Elephas maximus indicus: one gene and its partners. The protein of the gene in region 1 purifies or fractionates together with the protein of each later gene. This does not show direct contact. Links are inferred from orthologs where the notes say so. Each region holds a gene or a part of one and is shown on either strand. Other genes may lie near its edges.

Region 1 (7,432 bases):
CCTATCCCATTGCTGTCGAGTCAATTCCGACTCATAGCGACCCTATAGGACAGAGCACAGCTGCCTCATAGGGTTTCCAAGGAACGCCTGGTGGATTTGAACTGCCAACCTTTTGGTTAGCAGCCGTAGTACTTAACCACTGTGCAACCATGGCTAGGAGTAGTTAACAAAAATTCTCACAAGACAGGACTAGACATTACTAGTTTAGGAGTTTGCTTTTCAGATGCAAATATCTCTACTGGAAGAATATTTGTACTATTTTAATTATTGCCCATAAAAAAGTATAAACACATGGGTGGTGGAAATATAAGTGTGTGTTGCAAAAGTTTTTGTACTTTTTGATATATACATGTATATATTTTTTCAAAAACAAAACGCCCAAATACTCCTATCAGAAATAAGCACATGAGCTACTTGGCAAGGCTTTGGAAGGATGGGGGAAGAGAGCAAAATGAAAAGTTCAGAGTTGATAAACTGTCAAGGATAGGAATATTCCAGGCAAGAAGCAACAGCAAGGCTTACTCAAAGTCACTATTAGCTCCTGTCTACAGGATGATATGAAAGGAAGCTAAGTATGCCCCAAATTTCACCTGTTTCAGCTCTGTCAAGGATCAATGCTGATCTATACAAAGCTAGCAGGTTAAATCTTCTTTGAAGGTCAGAATCTCCAGGGATTCCCACCTTGGTTCCTCCATCCTTTCCCCAAAATGTGGAAATAAGCTTAGTTATCTATTAGGTGTCCAGATGAGATCCCAACTGCACCTAACAGCTGTGGGTGACCTGGCTGAACAAAGATAACAGAAGTAGCATCAGCCCAGAGAAGAGGGAATGACTGGCCAGCAGAAGTAATATTATCCATCATTCGTGATGACCCTTACCAAGAGTTCAGCTCGTGCCTGCTCCCCCTGTGCCCGCCGTCTCTTCTTTAAGTCTTTCACTCTTTTTAGGTGGTCCAGCTGGTTCTGGATTTGCTCCTGAGGAAACCATGACAGTTGCCAGTTCAGGATTAGGAAAACTTTAGCATCATCATGGTTATTCTGCATGTCACACATGGAACCCACACACCTCATGCCAAGACCCTGGTTAGAGCCTGTCTTTAGACCACATTGCCACCACGGAGAAAAAGGCCAAGAACCCAGGGGGGCACCAAGGGTCTCCTTTGTCTGTTTGTGTGTATCTTAAACAGTGGATTACCTTCTCCCCAGGAAGGATACTGTAGTTTCGTTGGGAAGGTGACTGCACTAAGAGGCTTAAAGCCAAACTAACTCCTCCACAGAGGTATCCTGAGAAAATGACTTCTCTTATTTTCCCCATGTATAACATTTTTTTTATAACATGGGTGAATGAACACCACCTTCCCAAACTACTCAGTGTTTATCATGAAGGTGAGTGAAATAATTAAGTGAAAGCACTCTAAACATTAAGTGGCAAATTATGTATTAATGTACTCACATTTAAACATGTATAATTGTGTATCCCTGCAGCACTCAAGTATACAGGTATCACAGCATCATGCATTCCCTGAATGTTGCCTTAAAACTTATATTTAATACTTTGTTTCCATGTTAGTGTTTAGCTGTGTCAGTCTGTTGATCCAACAGCTCACAAAGGGCTCCACACATATTTCACTTAATCTTCATAATAATGTGTTGTTACCCTCCTGAGTCTCAGAGAGGTTAAATGACTTGCCCAAGCAGTAAAGTGCTCTGTTCTTTTCCAGGAGCTTGTAGAACAGGCCAGAGCACAGGGAAGTGCTGGTGAAATGCTTATAGGCTTGATTCGATGTATGTACAGCCAGTTAACCTCCGGGTGTGTTCTGTCTGAGATCAGAGCCCACAGGAGTACTTGTGTCTCTGAAGGTGGCTGATGTGTATGTCGCTTTCCTCACACCTTTCAAAATGTCCAGGTGGGGGTGGGGGGTGGGAGCGTGGGGAGGTCTCTACGGGGGGCCGTCTTTATACACTACGTGTCCGTGAGCGGGTAAACACAGGGGTATAACAGGGAAAGCAGAGTGGGGGGTGGGGGAGACTTCTGGCTTCCTCACCAGCTACAGGTTTTTCTCCCAAATCTGAGTGCGAAGGCTCTGAAGCGGACAGAGAGGAAATGACGGCTGTGAACCACACGTCCGGCTCAGCCATTTTCTAGGCGGAAAAAAGGAAACCCCCTTGGCTCTCTCCTCCCTTTGTCCGACTCCGGCTCCCCGCCCCTCCCCGCTCCGCGCGCCGGGCCCTCACCTTGAAGCCCTCCACGGCTTCCTCGAGCGGCAGCACGCTGTGGCCACGGTGCTCGCGGGAGCGGTCGCACACCACGCAGATGGGCATCTGGTCTTCCTCGCAGTACAGCTTCAGGGGCTCGCGGTGTTTTTCGCACACGCCCATTTCGCCGCCGGGCCCCGACGGCCGCTCGGTGCGCAACTGCTTCACCAGCTGGGTCACGTTGGCCAAGTGCCGGTTGGGCCGCATGTGCCGCTGCGGGAAGGTCTCCCGGCACTGCGGGCACGACACGTTGGTCTCGGCCGCGCCCCAGCAGCGGGCGAGGCACGCGCAACAGATGTTGTGGCCGCAGTCGAGCATCATGGGCTCGGCGAAGTACTGCAGGCACACGGGGCAGGTGGTCTCCTGCTGCAGGCACTCGGCCACGCTCCCGGAGGCCATGGCGCTGGCCCGCGGGGGCGCACGGGCATGGGCCCCTTCGCTGAGCTCTGCGCGGAGCCCCACTCTACTGCGCTCCCTACGGGTCTCCACTTCAGGACGCGCGGGGAGGTGAGCGGGGCGGCGCCTTCCGGGCCCAGATGCTGGTCGCAGATCCCGGTCGCGCCCGCGCGCTGGAGACTCGAAGTGGCGGGGCCCCTCTCGGCGCCCCGTTGCGTGGGCGCCGGGACACTCCGGTCCCACGGAGACCCGTACCGAGGCAAGGGGTCCAGGAAGTGGGCGCAGCCGACCGGACTCGCGGGGCCAGGCGCGCTAAGCGCGCAGGACAACGTGGCCTCGTTCTAGCGGATCCCCGAGGCCGTGTAGACCCCACCCCGGCGCTAACGGAAGAGGCGGCTCGGGGGGGCGGGGCTTGGGCCGGGCCTCCCGAGCGCGACAGGGTTTTGTGGCCTCCAGGCCTGGACTGTTTCCTCCCAGAAAGGACTGGGTGGCGGGGCCGCCGGTATTTGGGCGGAACGCGCTGGAGCAGGAGCCTCGGGAGCCTGTGACAGGGGCAGGCGGTGTCCGCCGGGCGCAGCAGTGACAGGGTCACCCCAGCCTTCATGCTCGGGCCCACCTCCGAGCTTCCGCGCTCCTTCCCGGTCTTGGACCCCTAGTCTTTTGTTGGGTTACCTCTTTTGTGCCGAGGCCTCAGCTCCTGAGAGGGAAAGCTGGCTTTGTGTTGGATCTGGGAAGCACAGACATCTGGCCTGCCCCATGGGGCGGAGGGACGGGGGGAACCGACTGCACCCCACCCGATATGTGAGACAGATACACTTTATCGAACAGCTCCATTTACAGGCTCTTGGATTTTTTTTTTTTTTTAAGGCTTAATTATTAGGCAAATTATCGTTTCTGTGGGTTGTAAATGGAGTCAGACAAGCCCAGTTCTGCTACTTTTCCGTCTGTGCCCAAACAAGCTGGTTTACGGTTTTGGGCTTATAGTTCCCCTCCCCGCACCACCCCCCCGCCCGATTGAATGGGAATGATAACTGTACCCCTAGTGAGGAAGGAGACTTTATTATACCTTTATTTTTGAACCATAATGCTATGAGTCGGAATCGACTCGACAGCAATGGGGTTAATTACTATGAAAATAGCAATAAAATAGCTACTGCATGTTGTCGTTGTTGGTTGCAATGGAGTCAATTCCGATTCGTGGTGACCTCACGTGCGTAGAGTAGAACTGCTCCACAGGGTTTTAAAGGTTGTTTTGAGTAGAACTTTTAAAAAATTGCTTGTTCCTTCCCAAAGCATAGGAAGGTTGAGAAACCTGCAGTGACCCAAGCCCTTGGAATTCCACAATGCCCATTCTCTTTTCATCGTCCACCAAAAGAACCAAAACCAAGCCCAGTACGTACCATCGAGTCGATTCCGCCTCATAGCGACCCTATAAGGACAGAGTGGAACTGCCCCATAGAGTTCCCAAGGGGTACCAAGCGGATTCGAACTACCAACCCTTTTGACTAGCAGACGTAGACACTTAACCTCTACACCAGCAGGCCTTTTCTCATCTAGTAGACTTAAAGCTCTTGTGTTGCTCCTTCATCCCTACCTTGCTATTTCCTAGTTTCCTTAGATATTTTCTCAGTATCATCCTTGTACACCAGCAAGAGGGGCCTCTGCTTCCTACTCCTCACTTTAAAAGTTCCACTTTGGTCCTCCTCACTTATGGGGCAAGACATCGACCAGACTAACTGGACTTGCCAACCTCAAGCCCATATCCCCCTTCCAAACCACATTCTTTTGAGTATCCCAGTATGCAATTTCAGTTCCGGATAGCCCCAGCCCACTTCTAAAAAACATCTGGAAAAGCCTTATATTCACTTATGGGATGTGAGAAGTTTGGTGTAACTGAAGTGTAGTGTGTGTGTGTGCGTGTGTGTGTGTGTGTGTGTGTGTGCGAGCAATGGAGACAAGGCTAGAGAAGGCGGTTGGTGCTAGACCATGAAGGGGCCTTGTCTGTCACTCTCTGAAAGTTTGAACTCGGTATTGTAGGAACAAGGAACCAGCAGTTTTTCCACAGGTCAGAATTTGTTTTCTAGGAAAATAACTGAAGGCAACAAAGGATAAACTAGAATGAGGAGAAACTGTGGTAGGGAGATGAGTGGCTTTGTGCCTGTCAGCTGGGAAAATGGTAGTTCCCCCGGTAAAAACTGATACATTGACTATATCTTTCTTCAAATACTTAGATTTGTCCAAAGATTGGGTTCTAGCCAGAAATAATGAGTATTGAATTGCCACTTCAATTGAGACACACTGGAAAGGGAACAGGGTGGGAACAGTAAGAGCTCTCTATGTCTCCAACTCAGAAATGGGTATGACCATCAAGCTCCCTCAGCTTAGTGTTTTCTTCCACACCCACACACCTCTCCCTGAGTCTCAAGCTCCTGGGGCCTCCTAAGGCCCGGCCCATGGTCCAATCTCCGCTATCCTAAAAGAGTTTAAATTCACGGTGCAGGCGGCCACAGTGGCCATTTTTAAGGTGTCACTGGCATTTTGAATATTCAAGAAGGAAATGGGCTGGTAGACATTACTGTTGTTGTGCACCATATGAGTCAATTCCGACCCATAGCGACCATATAGGACAGAGTAGAACTGCCCTAGAGGGTTTCCAAGGCTGTAATCTTTATGGAAGCAGACTGTCACATCTTTCTCCAGCTGAGTGCTGGTGGATTCAAACCCACAACCTTTCATTTAGCAGCTGCGTGCTTAACCACTGCACCGGCAGGGCTCCTTTGGTAGAAACTACCAAGTGCAAGTCTTCCCTTTTCCCCTTTCTCTCACCCATCCCCATTCATCCCCATTCAACCTACCTATTTTACCCCACCTTTCCTTTTTTTTTTTTTTTTTTATCCATAACCCACCTCTGGGGTTGACAAGGAGTTGATAACACCATCAATTCTGAAAAACAAAGCCAAACTACAGGTCTGTATCCCTGAGATAAGAGGGATCAGATGCTCTACTTTAGAATTTGCTGGTTTATCTGCTTATAAAGCCTTTGTCACATACACTTTTTCTGTCTAGGTAACATTTAAGATTCCTCTCAAATGCAGTGAAGCCTTTCTACCTACTCACAGAATTCTTGTGAGAGCTCACTTACTGTTTACCACTACATCCTGCATTCCTTTGTGTGTTCCCCTCACTGAACTGAGAGCTCCTTGGGAGCAAAACTCTACTCTGTCTGACTTTGAATACTGCCTGGCATGTGGCTAATGGTCAATAAAAGTTTGCTGAAAGAATGATTTTATTGTCTTTCCTTTATCTTCTAGACTTATTGGAATTTTGAAAAAAATTTTCTTTTTCTTTTTCTTGCTTTGCTTTTATTGCTCAACTTGGCCTCTATTCATTTTTATTTCAATCACCACACCCTGACTTAAGTTATTACAATAGTCAGTTTACAAATGTTTTTGAAATGAATTAATAACTGGATAAATGCAACCATTTCCTATTAGTGTCCCTATTTCTAGTTTTTTCCTCTAGTCTGTTACTTTTTCCTCTAGTGATTACCACCTCAAGGGAAAGAATCATCCTTAAACATCCCTAACATGCTTCTTTCATTCTGCCACTTCTTACTGAGAAATCTTCAATGCTTCCTTTTTTGTCTCTAGGACATTGTCCAAATCCTTTAAGATGGTGTCCCATCTGAGTACCTCCAGCCTCCAACACAGGCTGATACCTTCACTGTCCTCAAACAACACCTCCAGTCTTGCCACAACCCTCTCTACAAGGCCTGTTCAAGAATCCCACCCCATCCTTAGAGCTTATCTGAAAAAGGCTGGCCTCATTGATTTCTCTTCTTTCCGCTTAGGCTCCTGTGTTCACACAGAACCTCACAAGGCACTTGCTTATTTTCTATCATATGACTTTCTTTGACTTTGCCTTGCATGAAACTCTTGCTTTTCTGTCAAAGCTCTAAATCAGGACATATTTTTAGAGCAGGAAGTGATTTTAGCTTTCACGTAGTCTAATACACTCACTTTATAAATAAGGAAACCAAGCTCACATAATTAAGTCCATGAGGGGAGGGACTCCTCATCAGACCTTCTTGTATGTTCTCTGTTATTTCTCACACGTACCTCTAACCATATCAAAAGCCCATAAATATTTGAACTATTAGACTAGCAGTTTAATGCTTCCACTGTCACGTTTTATGTATATCTCTCATCTTTATAACCCTTACTTTTTTTTTGGATTTTGCCCTCATTTTCTTAGAAAATCGCAGAGGGCGTCTGGCTTTATTGCAGAATAGATGCCCAATTTCTTTACCTGGAATCCTAGCTCTGCAGTTACTAAGGCCTTCTGGCCTTTCTGTGTCCCCATCCCCTGCTTCACACTCTGGCCCAGTCAATTCTCCACCTTTGCCATGCCAACCCCTCAGCCTGTCTGTCCCAAACCCCAGGTCTCCATCATTTAAGGCCCAACTCAAATGCCATGGCATCTCTCTTCTCTGATGGTCCCTAATCTTTTTTCTCTATTCCCTTAGCACAACCTCTGTACCTTCATTGAATACATACAGTTGGCAGATTAATCAGCAGCAGCATTTTATGAAGAATCATACTTAATGTTATCAAGTGTTTTGCTTTCTGTTGTTCTTGAGTCACTTATTCAGTACTATCATCTGGTTGCCCTCTGCATCTCTGTTATCCATTCCAGCCATCTCAAGCTATCGACACACCCAAAATGTAGCTGATTATCTTCTGCCTCACACATGTTCACGGTTGTGCCATTTTCCCACCTTC
Region 2 (7,026 bases), on another chromosome or scaffold:
GCTGTTATTAAGGCAGACAGTTTTCACAAAGGGGCTGCATGTCCTTTGGTTCCTCAGGTACATTTGATGTTGAGGATAGGTAATTTGTGAATAGCTAGACTGAGACAGTCAAGTGCTCTGGGTCTAAGAGAACTGGTTATCTAAAATAGAGAGATGTACTTTCATGGACAGAATAAACTCAGTGTACCTACCTTTACTGGCCCCAACAGGAGTCCCTGGGTAGTGGACATGATTAATGCGCTCAATAGCTCACTAACCAAAAGGTTGGGGGATCAAGTCCACCCAGAGGCACCTTGAAAGAAAGGCCTGGCTATCTACTTCCAGAAAAGTCAGCTTTTTAAAACCCTATGGGGCACAGTTCTACTCTGACACACATGGGGTCACCATGAGTTGGAATTGACTCAACAGCAACTGGTTTTACTGGTTCCAACAGAATAACTGGATGCTTGTGTCTGAATTTTTACACCCTAGTTCAAGAATGTACCAAGGAGTTGCAAAGGTGATGATGGTTGACTTGATCACCTTCCACCTCTACTAACATCCACACATTTTTTCCCTGCACATTCTTGGCACTTCCTTTCTGGCTGCTGTATTTCCTGTAAGCATAAACTGGGGCTCCATTCATAGGCTGAGTTTAGTGGAAGCTGACATCGTATTACTCATTCAACTCCAACACCAGTTAGGACAATCAGGTCTTACTGATAGCCATTTGCTGTGTGGGATGACCCACAGAATGGGGGACTGAGGATCAAAACAGCCATAATCCTGAAAAAGAAACAGTTAATGGAAGAACTCAATTTCTAATGACTTTGTACCTTTGAAGTGGAGGAGGAAAAGTAAGCCTTAGGGTGGAAATTACATAGGCTGGAAAATAGACTGTCCCAAAGCCACCCACAGCCAGAAACTCCTATGAGGCAAAGGTGATTAACAGGGAAACATGAGGGTTATGTGTGTAAAGCTGTCCCCACTGAGCAGTCTCTAAACCCCTATGAAAGTTCAAAGTCCTATGTTAAAATGGGTTATTGACACCAAGGAGAGTCCTGGAAAACACAAAGCATGACAGTATCCATTCCGTAGAAGCAACTTGCTGTGTGCCATGCCAAGTGCCTAACAAGTGAAGCGCCTTCTTTGGGTGTACACGGGAGTGACATATCTTCAGGTCCCCTGAATAAGCCACTTGCATTTGAAAAGCAAGAATGTTCTGGGATGGCTTCCCGTTCCTTCAATTGCCAGGAAAGTCACTGAAACTTATTATAGACCAAACTGTATCCCCCCTCAAAATATCTGTTGAACCCCTCTACCTTGTACCTGTGGATACAATATATAGGAAATGCTTTTTCTTCTGTTATATTAATCAGGTCATATCAGTGCAGGCTGCATCCTAAACCTAATCATTTCTGAATTATAAAAAGACCAAAACAGACACAGAGAAACACACAGGGGAAGGCAGATATCCTGTGAGGATCATCTATAAGCCAAGGAATGCCAAGAAACGCCCAGGGCTACTAACAAGGAAGGAATGACATGACCAAAATTCCCATTTGAGCTTTTAACCTCTAGAACTGTGAGAAATAAATTTCTGTTTTTTAAAGCCACACATTTGTGGTATTTTCTTTATGGTTGCACCAGGAGACTAAGATGAAACATCACCCCTAAATTCTTCTCTCATTATTGAAGGCAATGCACTCCCTTGGGAATGCATAATGTCTTCATTTGGTAATTACATATTACCAAATTTGAGGGACACTGGTTGAAGGTGGAAACCCTAGTGGCATAGTGGTTAAGAGCTTGGCTGCTAACCAAAAGGTCAGCAGTTCTAATACAAAGGCACTCTTTGGAAACCCTGTGGAACCGTTCTACTGTCCTATAGGGACGCTGTCAGTCAGAATCCACTCAACAGCAATGGGTTTGGGTTTCTGGGTTTTCTGGACTCTTATCCTAGACTGTGAACCCTCCTCTACGTATCACCCTCAATGTTGATAGTACTTCGTATATTTTCTCTGGGTGGTTCAAATGGTTAGCAGGGAAAGGCTGGAGGTTCAAATCCACCCAGAGGTGCTGTGGAAGAACCACCTGGTGATCTACTTCTGAAAAATCAGCCATTGAAAACCCTATGAACCACATTTCTGCTCTCACACACATGGGTTCCCACGAGTCAGAGCTGACTTGACAGCAACTGGATATTTTATATTTTCAAGAAGCTGCCCAACTAAACACAGACAGTCACTTCCTTTCAGCAAAAGCATTATATTGTTGCTGTTAGGTGCCACTGAGTAGATTCCAAATCATAGCAACACTATGTACAATGGAAAGAAACGCTGCGGGTCCTGTGTCATCCTCACAATCATTGCTATGCTTGAGCCCATAGTTGCAGCCACTGTGTCAGTCCATCTCATGGAGGGTCTTCCTCTTTTTTGCTGACCCTCAACCAAGAATGATGTCTTTCTCCAGGGACTGGTCCCTCCTGATAACATGTTCAAAGTATGTGAGATGAAGTCTCACCATCCTCACTTCTAAAGAACATTCTGGTATAGTCTTATAAGTAATATAGTCTTACCCAGTATTTTTGATATCTTCTCCTTTGTCTGTTAATACATCATCTTCCCATTTTAAGTGGATTTTTTTCCCATGAGAGAAGCCCTGGTGGTGCAGTGGTTATAGGTTTGGCTGCTATAGAAAGGTTGGCAGTTTGAACCCATCAGCTATCCCACAGAAGAAAGATGCGGCAGTCTGCTTCTGTAGATTACAGCCTTGGAAACCCTATGGGACAACTCTACTCTGTCCGATAGGGTTGCTATGAGTTAAAACTGACTAAAGGGCAACAGGTTTGTTTTTTTATTTCTTTATTTTTTTTCCCATGAGTTGGTTCCCCAGAAATTTTGCATTTTACTCTTTGTCCACTTTCCTAAGTATCAATCTTCGATGTGTTCATTCATGTTATTGTTTTCTAGTGACTTTGTTTGTTTTCATTAACACAATTTATTTTCTGCTCTGCAACTGGCAAACATGAGCAAGAAACCCACTTCAACTATCATTCCAGCCATTCCAGAAGTTTTCACCATACGAGAAAATGCTCTCTTCTATTAATTTTGGGCACATACTAATTTCCAGGATTTCTTTCTTTCTCTCTCTACTGATAGCAATCCCTTTTCTCTGCCTGTAGTCTTCAAGACATTTCTCAGGAGTTTCTTGGCCTCTATACTTTTCGCTCTAAAGTCTTTGCTTCCATAACACATTCATTCCCACAGCTTTATTCTAAGGAGGGGTGCCCATATTTGACTCCTAGCCCAGGTGTCTTATGAGCTCCAAGCCATACACAAGTGCCTTCAGGGCCCCTCTCCTGAGAGGTCCCACAGCAGTGTAAATGCCCTATGTCCCAATCAACGCTCATCGAAGCGTCTCCCCATGTGCCTCGCACTGTGTCCCTAAGAGAGTAAATGGGTACCAACAACGTCCCACTTTCCCAGGATAGAGACATGCATTCCGTCTGCATCTCCTTTACACCTACGTTAAAGTATAACAGCCCCTATTCTACCTCCTAAATCTCAGTGCATCCACGTACTTCTTACATCCTCCCTCTCCTATCAGAGCGCGGGTCACACCATCTCCCCCCTTCTGGATGCCTTCCATGTTCCCAGCGGTCTGTCCCCATTCCACACTGCTGTACAGTTATCTTTCTAAAACATAGATCTGTCCCTGTCACTCCCCTGTGAAAAGTCATCCATGGAGAGGCTGAGTAGGCTGCATTTGGGGACTGGACACAGTGAGAAGGGATCTTGTGTCAGCCAGGACTTCTGGTAGACGCCCCTATGCTCTATCCACTTGTGGTGGTCGGGGGCGGGGAAGGGGGCGGGATTGAGCCCCCTTCCCCCCTCCTCCTTACTGCGGAAAGCTGCAGAGAGAGAAGCACTCACTTCCTATTCAGCAGTCAGCGGGGAGGGAGCCTCTGAGCAGCCACGTAGGCATTCTCTTCTCTCTGGAGGAAAAGGCCCAGCAGCTGTCCGAGGAAAAGGCCCACCAGCTGTCAGAGCAAAGGGACATGTCGCAGCTAAGTAAGAATCTGGGTGATTCGAGCCCTCCTGTCGAGGGCCCGAAGCCACCGGTCTATAGCCGCCCTACGGTTCTGATGCGGGCCCCGCCCGCCTCCTCCCGGGCCCCACCAGTCCCTTGGGATCCACCTCCTCTTGACTTGCAGGCTTCATTGGGTGCTTGGCCGGCACCTCAGCCTGCCTGGGAGGCCCCACAGGGCCAGCCGCCAGCCCCGGTGGCGCCGATGGCCCAACCTCCGGCCCTAGGGGCCCAGATGGTCCAGCCTCCCCCTCTGGGAGGCCCGATGGGCAAGCCTCCGACTCCTGGAGTCCTGATGGTCCATCCTCCTCCCCCGCCGGGAGCCCCGATGGCCCAGCCTCCAGCTCCCGGAGTGCTTATGGTCCATCATTCAGCTCCGGGAACCCCCATGGCGCATCCTCCCCCTCCGGGGACTCCGATGGCCCACCCTCCCCCTCCGGGGACACCGATGGCCCACCCGCCTCCTCCGGGAACCCCGATAGTGCACCCGGCCCCTCCGGGGACCCCGATGGCCCATCCTCCCCCTCCGGGGACCCCGATGGCCCATCCTCCCCCTCCGGGGACCCCGATGGCCCATCCTCCCCCTCCGGGGACACCGATGGCTCACCCTCCCCCGCCGGGGACACCAATGGCCCATGCTCCCCCGCCGGGGACCCCCATGGCCCAGCCTCCAGCTCCTGGAGTCCTGATGGCCCAGCCTTTGACGCCGGGAGTCCTGATGGTCCAGCCTCCAGCGCCGGGAGCTCCAACGGCTCAGCATCCACCTCCCGGAGTCCTGATGACCCAGCCGCTGCCTCCGGTAGCCCCGATGGCCAAGCCTCCAGGTCCTGGCGTTCTGATGATGCATCCTCCGGGTTCCAGAGCTCCGATCGCCCAGCCTGCAGCTTCAGGAGCCCCGATGGCGCAGCCAGCTGCCCCACCTGGGCAGCCTTTGGCTTCTTGGGCCCCACAGGCTCAGCCTCTGATCCTGCAAATCCAGTCTCAGGTTATAAGGGCTCCTCCGCAGGTTCCCCAGGGTCCTCAGGCCCCGCAGGCGCAGCTGGCCACGCCTCCGGGCTGGCAGGCCACCTCGCCGGGATGGCAGGCCCCTCCACAAGGCTGGCAAGCCACACCCCTAGGCTGGCAGACCACGCAGGTCACCTGGCAGGCCCCAGCGATAGCCTGGCAGGCACCTCCATCTGTGCGCCAGGGCCCTCCGCCCATCCGACCAGGCCCGCCACCCATCCGCCCCGGCCCGCCGCCGGTGCGCCAGACCCCACCCCAGATCCGCCAGGCCCCTCCGCTGATCCGCCAGGCGCCACCGCCCATCCGGCCAGCCCCGCAGGTCCTGGCGACCCCGCCGCCTCTCTGGCAGGCCCTTCCGCCTCCTCCGCCTCTGAGGCAGGCCCCGCAGGCTCGGCTGCCGGCCCCGCAGGTGCAGGCGGCTCCGCAGGTGCGGGCGGCCCCGCAGGTGCGGGCGGCCCCGCAGATGCGGGCGGCCCCGCAGGTGCGGGCGGCCCCGCAGGTGAGGGCGGCCCCGCAGGTGCGGGCGGCCCCGCAGGTGCGGGCGGCCCCGCAGGTGCGGGCGGCTCCGCAGGTGCAGGCGGCCCCGCAGGTGCGGGCGGTTCCACTGCCTGCGCAGGTGCCCTCGGCACCACCAGCAGGACCACAGGCGCCCCAGGCCCAGCCTTCGACTCAGCAGATCGCGCACTGCCCGCCCATCATCTGGCAGGCCCCCAAGGGCCAACCCCCAGTGCCGCACGAGTTGCCAACGTCTATGGAGTTCCAGGAGGTGCAGCAGACCTGGCCAGCCCCGAAGACCCCTGCTCACTTTTGGCAGCCCCTGCCGGCCCAGGAAGTGGAGAGGCAGGGCCCGCAGCTGGTCCAGCTGGAGCAGCCCTTTCAGGGGGCCCCGCCCTCCCAGAAGGTCCTGCAAATCCAGCTACCCACCCAGCAGGCCGAGACATCGGGCTCGGGCTCGCAAGCAGAGCTGCCCCCTCTGCAGCTCCAGCCCTCCTGGCAGGCCCCACCCGGAGCCATGCAGGCCCAGTCAGCAGCCTCCTTAGGGGCTGCAAATTTTCACAGGGGCTCTGCTAAATCACTGATGACTCCTCCATCCGGAGAATCCAGGGCCTCTTCCGTAGACCCTAGGGCCTCCTCCAAGGAACGCCGGACCTCTTCAAAGGAACGCAGGACTCCCTCGAAGGACCGCATGATCTTCGCTGGCACTTTTTGTGCCCCAAGGGCAGTGTCAACTGCCCGGGCATACCTGCCAACTGCCTGGAAAAACCCACCTGGCACATCAGAGACCTTTACTGCCACCTCAAGGGTCTTTCCAGCTACCTCCCCGATCTACCCTGCCTCTTCTGTTACCTTTAAGGGTCCAACTGTGACCTCAGAAACCCCGAAGTCACTGCCGCTTGCTCTGCAGAATCCATTTGCCTGTGAAGAAGCCCTGCCTGCTGTTTCCTGGGTTCCTCAGCCCAACTCCAATGCCTCAAAGGCATGGAAGTCAGCACCCACCTTCCTGATGGCCTCAGCAGCTGTTCCTCGGGCAACAGCCACCAACGATGAGGCCTCTAAGACTTCCCAGCAGCGCCGCTCAGGCAAAGTTGCCCGGAAGAAGAAGCACCTGAATGCCCAAGAAGACAGCAGTGGTCATATGCTGGCCCTGCATGATTGGCAGGCCCCAAGGCCCTGGAGCAATCTGAACTTGAGTGACTGGGAGGGCCAAAGCCCCCTCCAGGTCCTGGGTGACTGGGAGGGCCTGAGCGTCTCCTGTGGCCTGAGTGGCTGGGAGGGCCCTAGTACCTCCAGGATCTTGAGTGGCTGGGAAGGGCCCAGCACCTCCTGGGCTCTGAATGCCTGGGAGTGCCCAAGCACCTCAAGGGTCCTGAGCGTCTGGGAAAGCTCAGGGAAGCCTGAGCCACTGATCTTCTCTGAGGTCCCAAGTCTCTCTCAGGAGCTTGGTGCCACCCA
Region 3 (7,917 bases), about 72 Mb from region 1:
CAAATTGTCTTCTTGGTATCCATGAAGATTTTTTTTTTAAAACATTTTACTGTGCTTTAGGTGAAAGTTTACACAGCAAATCAGTTTTCCATTCGATAATTCATACACAAATTGTTCCATGACATTGATTGCAATCTTTATGAAGATTTTAATGAAACCACAAAACTATAAAACAAGATTGTTGATATCCAAATACAAACTTGACTTGGCTCATTTAAGTGTTTTCAGTGCAAATGCTAATTTTGCATTCAATCTCTAAACTTCTTAACGAAGAAAATGAAAAGATTTCATCTACTAAATGTCCTGCGAAGAGTCCCTGGGTGGTGCAAACACTTAAGTGCTCAACTGCTAGCCAAAACTCTGGTGCTTCAAACCCACCAGAGGCACCCTGGGAGACAGGCCTAGCAATCTGCTTCTGAAAGATTACAGCCATGAAAACCCTATGGGGCGGCTCTACTCTGTACACATGGTGTCGCCATGAGTCAGCACCAAGTCCATGGCAACTAGAAACAACGAACGTCCTGCACACCTTGTAAACAACACTGCTAAACGAGGAGTGTGGTTTGCTTACATGTGACATGGCAGCTTTCATAATGAAAGTTTTGGTCACTTTAGTTTCTTCAAAATGTGGAAAAGCACTTAATCACATTTTTCACTTCATAGAAATGGAATGAGATTGTCTTAGTTATCTACTGCTGCTATAACAGGAATACCACAAGTGGATGGTTTTAACAAAGAGAAGTTTATTCTCTCACAGTTTAGGAGGCTAGAAGTCTGAATTCAGGGTGCCAGCTCCCAGGGAGGGCTTTGTCTGTCAGTTCTGGGGGAAGGTCCTTGTTATCAATCTTCCCCTGGTGTAGGAGCTTCTCAGTGCAGGAACCCTGGATCCAAAGGACGTGCTCTACTCCCGGTACTTCTTTCTTGGTGGTTTGAGGCCGCTCTCCTCTCTGCTCGTTTCTCCCTTATATATCTCAAAAGAGATTGACTCAAGATGCAACCCAATCCCTTAGATTGAGTCCTGCCTCATTAACATAACTGCCTGTAATTCTGCCTCATTAACATCATAGAGGTTAAGAGTTACAACGCATAAGATAATCACATCAGATCACAAAATGGTGGACAACCACACAATACTAGAAATCATGGTCTAGCCAAGTCGACACACATTTTTGTGGGAGACAATTCAATCCATGACAGAGATAATCTCCTTAGACATGTGCCTACAATATGACTATCATCATTGCTGGCCGTAGAAAAGACGTTAAAATATTTGTTTGCCATAAAATCACATTTTCAAAGTGTGCAACAAGAAGAATATCCTGCTCCAATTTGGAAATACATTGAGAATGAGAAAGGGGACAAGGATTACAGTAAAACAGAAACATACATACTGTTTTCTAAAACTGTTTGATAATCCTTGAAGAGGCCATAACGAGCCTAGAAAAAGGATGAACGGACTGCACCTGAGTTGTTCAATGTTCTGTGTAGATTGCAATAAAAACTCACATAGAAAAAAAAAAAAAGACTAAATTTTTTTGTAAGTAAGATTGCTTCATAATTTTTAAACTGACTAATTTGGACTCCAAGTTTGATTTCACAATTCAAATCACCTCTATGCTTTAAAATGATTTTGCCTGGGGAAAAGAGAGTTAACTTATGATGACATTCAACGTATTTCAGAGTGTTTAAAAATGATGGGCATTTTAGACATGGAGAACCTACATGATTATAGATGCAAAGGACCCGATTGACAGACAAAAGCTAGTTTACCAAAGCAAGCTTGTAGATACAAAGTGGATGGACATTTTGGAAAGCTGGAAATGAATTCCTACAAGTTAAAAGAACTGCTGTGTTATTAAGTAAAATCCTAAGTATTTTATGCTCAAACACGTTTGTTGAGAGAATATTTAATGTCATTGCATTGTACTGACACCAGGAATCAGTGCAATGTAGGCATTATAAGAGCAGAGCTGCAAGTCGAAATTAATTTTATGTCTGACTGTATTCAGTTTTACCACTACACAAAAGAAAAGAAAGATACCCTAAAGGCTCCAGGGAGTTCAGAGATGCATTAATAGAAAAGGCAACTAAAAGAGTAAAAATATCCTACTGTATCTTGGGACAGAAAGAAACATGTCATTGTTACTTTTTAATATAGGTAGTATCTGTTTAATTAGTCCCATTGTATTTACATTCTCTTTTTAAAAAGTCTCACATTTATGTATCTTAAGAACACACAATAATATAGCCTATAAAATTTAAATATGTAATGGAATTAAAAAAAGAGTTAAAATAAATTTCTGTATTAGAGGACAGAAACATCATAAAAATATTGTTATATGTTTTTCACACATATTTCTTTTGTTTAAATAATAGCATTTATGTAACAGAAAAGAAATAAAACTATATAATTTCAAGTAAACATCTATTTTTCATGTTTTTAAATAAAAATAATAATGCATGTGTATGATTGTTTATTATATATTATTTATTTCCACACCAGACTGGCAAAAATTAAAAAAAAAAATCAGGCATTTCTAAATGTTAGCAAAAATATGTAGAAAAGACAGTATTATAAACTGTGGGAGTATAAATTGGTACAACTACTTTGTGAAATAATCCAGCAATACCTAGTGTATTAGTTTTCTACTGCTGTGTGACAAATTACCACAGGCTTAGTGGCTTAAAACACATTTATTAGCTCACAATATCTGGGTGTCAGAAGTCCAGGCACAGCTTAGGCGTTTCCTCTGCTCAGGGTCTTACAAGGCTGCAATCAGGTATCAGCCAGGCTGTGTTCTCATCTGGAGGTGTGACTGAGGGAGAATCTGCTTCCAAGTTCTCTGATTGTTGGCAGAATTCTTTTCCTTCTGGTTGTGTGAGTCAGAATCGACTCCACGACACTGGGTTTGTGGTCGATGACTGAGGGCCCTGGCTTTTTATGGCTGTTGGTTGACCTGGAGGCTTCCCCAGAGTCCTGGGGGTCACTTACGGTTTCCTGCCAGGAGACCTTTTTCAGTTCACAACATGGCAGCTTGCTTCTTCAAGGCCACCAGGCCAGTCTCTAGCTCAGTTAGTAAGACAGAGTCTCCCATAGTGAAACACAGTCATAGAATAACATCCCATCACCCTTGCCATATTCTATCCGGTAGAAGTCAAAGTTCCCGCCCCCCAATCAAGGGGAGGGGATTATATAAGGCAACACCAGGAAGCAGAGATAGTTGGAACCATCTTAGAATTCTTCGCAGCACATCTAGTGAAAATAGTCAACCTCCTAGGATCTAGCAGTTTCCCTGTATAAGAATGTTCATAGCAGCATTGTTTATCATAGCAAAAATACTGTTTTATAATTTTTTAATTTCTCAAAATACAAAAAGATGTACTAAGAGAGTCATTAGTTTGTAAAACACCATGTATGATAACGTTTTTTGTAAAAGTAACATGGATGTAGGAATTCTGCTTCCAGCAATGGCATACTGTTGCTGTATTAGACCAACTCTCAGAGAACAACTAGACAAAATATACAAAAGATTAAGGCACTGAAGAGCTACCAAGGCAGTGAAAACCTGTGAGTTCAAGATCTGGAAAAAAGGGGAAGCTCAGCTTTCCACTTGAGATGACAGATTCTGAAAGCAGTGGCTGAAAAACTGAGCAGAGCTTTTGGCTGTCCCTTGGGGCTGGGGAGGCATGGCCAAGGAGAACCAAAACCAAACCTCTTGCTCTCAAGCCAAGGAGAAGAGGCCCTAGTAACTATACCCCACACTTGGCTGGGACCCTCAAGGGCTGTACCCTAGCTAGGAATAAGGATGAACTGGAAATCAACTAGCTTCCATAAAGATGGTAGTCCAGCTCAGAATAATCCTAGTTTCCAATTGGAATAGGTGATCTGCCCTTAGCTTAGCTGTGGTCAGGCATCCTTGCTCCCAAGTCTCTCCCATAAACACCTTCCACTTCCTCAGCACCCCTGCTCAAACTTCCAGTCTGATCCGTCTAAGTGCATCACAGTGGGTAAGCTGATAGGGAAGACAGAAATCCAGGACATACAAACATTGCCTAACCTAGGATTCAGGTGGTATGGTCCTCCCGTCTTTCCCTCACTTATAAATGTAAATAACCTACCCCATCTCTTTTTCCTGGCTTCTCCGCCTATCTTTTAAATTGATTTGATAAAACATGTCGTCTGTGAGACTTCCTATTCCATGACCTCTGCTTGGTTGGCTTCCATCTTTCTTCTTTTGAAGCCACTGCTTTACTTGCTCCCTCAAAAGAAGAATTCCATTATATATTTTTTCCCTTAAATTTAACCATAATATTTATGTGCCCTAAATGTTCGTTTGAGAGCACTTATTGAGAGCAAAACAATTATTTGGGTTTCATATAATTTCTTACTCATATATTATCGGGCAATGGGGATAGGAAAGAATTAGAAGTGGAATACACAGGGACTTCCTGCAACCATGCAGCACGCGAACGCCTTAGACCTGAGGCCACTCACTTTTAACACTTTTTAAATGCCCCCTGGGGCTTCAATACATCATTCATCCAATAAACACGTATTAGGTACTTGCCATGTCAGAAGCTAAATATGGAGAGGTGAATGAGGCTTCATCCGCCCTGAAAAAGTTTAGTGAAGACAGATTTGTAAACATAACTTTGCCATACAAAGTAAGAAGTACCGTCTCTGTCACGCCTCCACGAATCTACAACCCGCGCTGTGGACAGCGAACCCCCTCCCCTACCCCAGGCTCCTTACAGACTGGAGACGGCGAGCGGCGCTCAGTGCCACACTGGTGGAAGACTACGTCTCCCAGCAGCCTCTGCGGCAGGGCGGCGGAGCGGAGCGCGCAGGCGCGGGGACCGGCCCCCGCACGCAGGCGCAGTGCGAACGCCGGCTGAGCTGGTCTCGCTGCTCGGTGCGCGGCGGCGGAGAGCGAGGCCTGGTGAGCACCGCCGCGGCGCCGGCCGGCTCTCCGAGGTTGTGCGCAGAGGAGCTACAGCGGACGGGCGGGCGAGCGGCTCACCTCAGCAGTGGCACCGGGATCGGTTGCCCTCAGCCTGGTGAGTGCTGGGGCCTCGCGGCCGCGGCCCCTCCCCCTCCCTCGGTGCGACCCGCGGGAGGCCCCGGCGTGAGGGCGTGCGCCGGCCGGGCTCGAGCTCGGCTCCCGGGCCCGGGCGTTGGCGGCGCGTCCGTGCGTCACGGGCCCGGCTGTCCTCACTAACGGCCGCGCGGCCGGCGCAGGCCAGGGTGGGGGTGGGGAGCGCGGGCGCGATCGCCGTCAGGAACGCCGGTCGAGGCGGGGCTGGAAGCGGCGCCGGGGACCGCGGGGCGCCGAGGCGGCGGGGCGGGGTGAGGCCGGCCGGGGGCGGCGGCGGGCAGCGCGGAGCGCGGGGACCCGGGCCGGGGAGGGCAGGGCGGCGAGGACGAACCGTCGCCAGGGCAGGAAGGGGCCGTCGTGGGGACCGACGAGTTGGGGCCCAGCCCGGAGCGGCGGCCGGGCGGCCTGGGAGGAGGCAGGAACGACTGCAGTTTACAGATGTCATAACAACCGGGGCCCGAAGCGGCCGACGGGGCTGTGGTAATTATAGGAATGACAGAAGTTCGCGTGTGCGTGGCGTGTGCGACTCGAGGGAAACAGCCAGGTGTCAGGTTCAGCTCAAAACGTGAGGAAACTCAACGGTGACTTAGGGAAATCGTCGCGAAGGAACGTTTTAGGGTCGAACGGAAGGAAGTACTTAACGAGCCCCTTTTCAATGACAGATTGCAAAACAATTGACTTTTAAGATTTAAATTTAGAATCAACGACTGTGAATTTTTTTCTGTAAAGGCTGCTAAATGATGTTTTTCAGTCTTTTTCTTAAATAAACGGTGTCTTCAAAGCCCCCATTTCTTAGCAGGGGATGGGTAGGTGGTCCCGCCGTCGGGCGCCCCCCACCCCCCATGCTTCAAAGCTTATTTTTGGCATTGTTGTTTCCTTAATTTGTTCTTCCTTCTGTAATATTCTGAAAGTAATTCTCACATTACTTTCCCCCGATTTTAAAGACTGAAGAAATGACATTTTCTCAAAGCAAAGTGAGAAGGAACTCTATTTTATTTTTACTGAAATAATTTAGTCTTGGAAGGCCCTGTTTTATGTGCGATTCATGTTTTTGACGTGCAGGACATGAGAGAAAGTAGAGGAATGACTATTAATTGAGCGCCTTTGAAGGCGTAGTGTTAAGTATGTTACATGTATTAAAACATTTAATGTTGTCAGTAACTCTGAAGTAAATTTTTAAAAAGTAAATATTAATTTGTCCTGTTATATAGACAAAAACATCGAAGGTCGGGGAAGTTAAGTAACTTACCTAAGGTCATTCAGGCCTTGTTGGAACCAGCCTTAGAGCCCTAAATCACTTCCATTTTAAGATTTCTTCTCTAATACTCACGGGTTTTGTTTTATTTCATTTATTCAGCTAATATTTATGGAGTGATCATGTGCCTGAGATATAGTCGTCATCAAGACACTGTCCCTGTCCTCATGGAATTTATACAAGACACTGTCCCTGTCCTCATGGAATTTATAATGTAGCAGGAAAGACTAACAATATAAAATACTGACTGCAGGGCATTTTATTAGTCGTTGTAATTGAGCAGAAACTGTAAAGCACTTTACTAAATAGCAAAGGAAGTTCAAATGCAGGCAGACAGTATAATCCTTGAGGAGTTTACAGTCTAATAGGAAATCAAAACATAGAAACCTAGAATGAACCAAATGACAAAAATAAACCTATTCCATGAAATCAGTATACTTACATAATGTTACTTTAGCTTCTCAAATAAATTTTTTCATAGAACTATGATATAATATCATGTACCTTGACTTTTATCTAGGATCGACGTAGAAGAAAGGACATGAAAATAATCTTAACTTCGTTGCTCCTGGAGACACTATTTCTTATTTATTCATCGATCTTCATAAAATAGAGACCTTAGAGACAGATTCTTACGAGCTCAGTACCAGGCTTTTTTCTCGGTCATTTTTATTTTTAGTTTTTTAAACAACTGCTTTTTATTAGATCATGATTGTTTTAATGCCGTTCTGTTTCTCTTTACACTTTGGCTGTCAGGAGGCTCAGAACTGAGTTGTGTTGAATTTTTGTAATTTTCCTTAGCCTCAACTGTGTTATGTATATTTTTTGCGAGGTAGCCTGGAATTATGCTCAGTTGTTTCCTGGCCTGTTTTCTTTGTGTTCTCTTATGCCTTCACTATTTTCTTATTTTACCTTTCCTCTTCCGTTTGAGGGCAGGAATTACATCTTATTCTTTTTATCTCCAGTGTTTTCAGCATATTGCTGGTTGAATTGTTGTTGTTAGGTGCCATCGAGTCGGCTCTGCCTCCTAGTGACCCCGCCCGGTCTTTCACCAGCTTTAGAGTCATTGCTGTGTTTGAGCCTGTTGTTGCGGCCACTGAGTCAGTCCGTCCGTCTTGTTGAGGGTCTTCTTCTTTTCACTGACACTTTACTTTACCGAGCATGATGTCCTTCTCCCGGGACTGGTTCTTCCTGATAATATGTCCAAAGTAGGAGAGATGAAGTCTGGCCATTCTTGCTTCTGAGGAGCTTTCTGGCTGTACTTCTTCCAAGAAATATTTTATTCTTTTTATCTCCAGTGTTTTAGCATGTTGTTTGTTGAATTAATGATTAAATAAAGTCTTGATGATTTTCTGACGTCTTGCCTTTAAATCTGTCAAATTATTTTTGGAAGTATGTGTGAATACTGTGTATAAAATCAACTTTTGATTGACCATGCAAGTAAAGATGACCTAAAGATAATCTCGTTACTGTCTTTGTTTTGTTTTAAGATCTCGGTGTACTTTGCAGGATATTATGAATTCAGCCATAATGGAAGAAAATATCAGAAATGGTGAACACTTCAGT

The links.
Region 2: the proteins of TRIM27 (region 1) and MAGEL2 purify together in Homo sapiens (affinity purification with western blotting; 3 studies listed by BioGRID and IntAct, with this or other methods). This does not show direct contact. The link is inferred for Elephas maximus indicus from reciprocal best matches to the Homo sapiens genes TRIM27 and MAGEL2.
Region 3: the proteins of TRIM27 (region 1) and KPNA1 purify together in Homo sapiens (co-immunoprecipitation; 3 studies listed by BioGRID and IntAct, with this or other methods). This does not show direct contact. The link is inferred for Elephas maximus indicus from reciprocal best matches to the Homo sapiens genes TRIM27 and KPNA1.

What each region holds. Positions count from the first base shown.
Region 1 is NC_064819.1:85,514,648-85,522,079, forward strand, and holds the start of TRIM27 (zinc finger protein RFP), read right to left. Parts: upstream 3,034-7,432; 5' UTR 2,655-3,033; coding exon 2,235-2,654; intron 975-2,234; coding exon 879-974; intron 1-878. UniProt on the Homo sapiens protein: E3 ubiquitin-protein ligase that mediates ubiquitination of various substrates and thereby plays a role in diffent processes including proliferation, innate immunity, apoptosis, immune response or autophagy.
Region 2 is NC_064831.1:99,075,529-99,082,554, reverse strand, and holds the start of MAGEL2 (MAGE-like protein 2), read left to right. Parts: upstream 1-3,929; 5' UTR 3,930-4,039; coding exon 4,040-5,482; intron 5,483-5,644; coding exon 5,645-7,026. UniProt on the Homo sapiens protein: Probably enhances ubiquitin ligase activity of RING-type zinc finger-containing E3 ubiquitin-protein ligases, possibly through recruitment and/or stabilization of the Ubl-conjugating enzyme (E2) at the E3:substrate complex.
Region 3 is NC_064819.1:13,087,953-13,095,869, reverse strand, and holds the start of KPNA1 (importin subunit alpha-5), read left to right. Parts: upstream 1-4,880; 5' UTR 4,881-5,058; intron 5,059-7,917. UniProt on the Homo sapiens protein: Functions in nuclear protein import as an adapter protein for nuclear receptor KPNB1. Binds specifically and directly to substrates containing either a simple or bipartite NLS motif.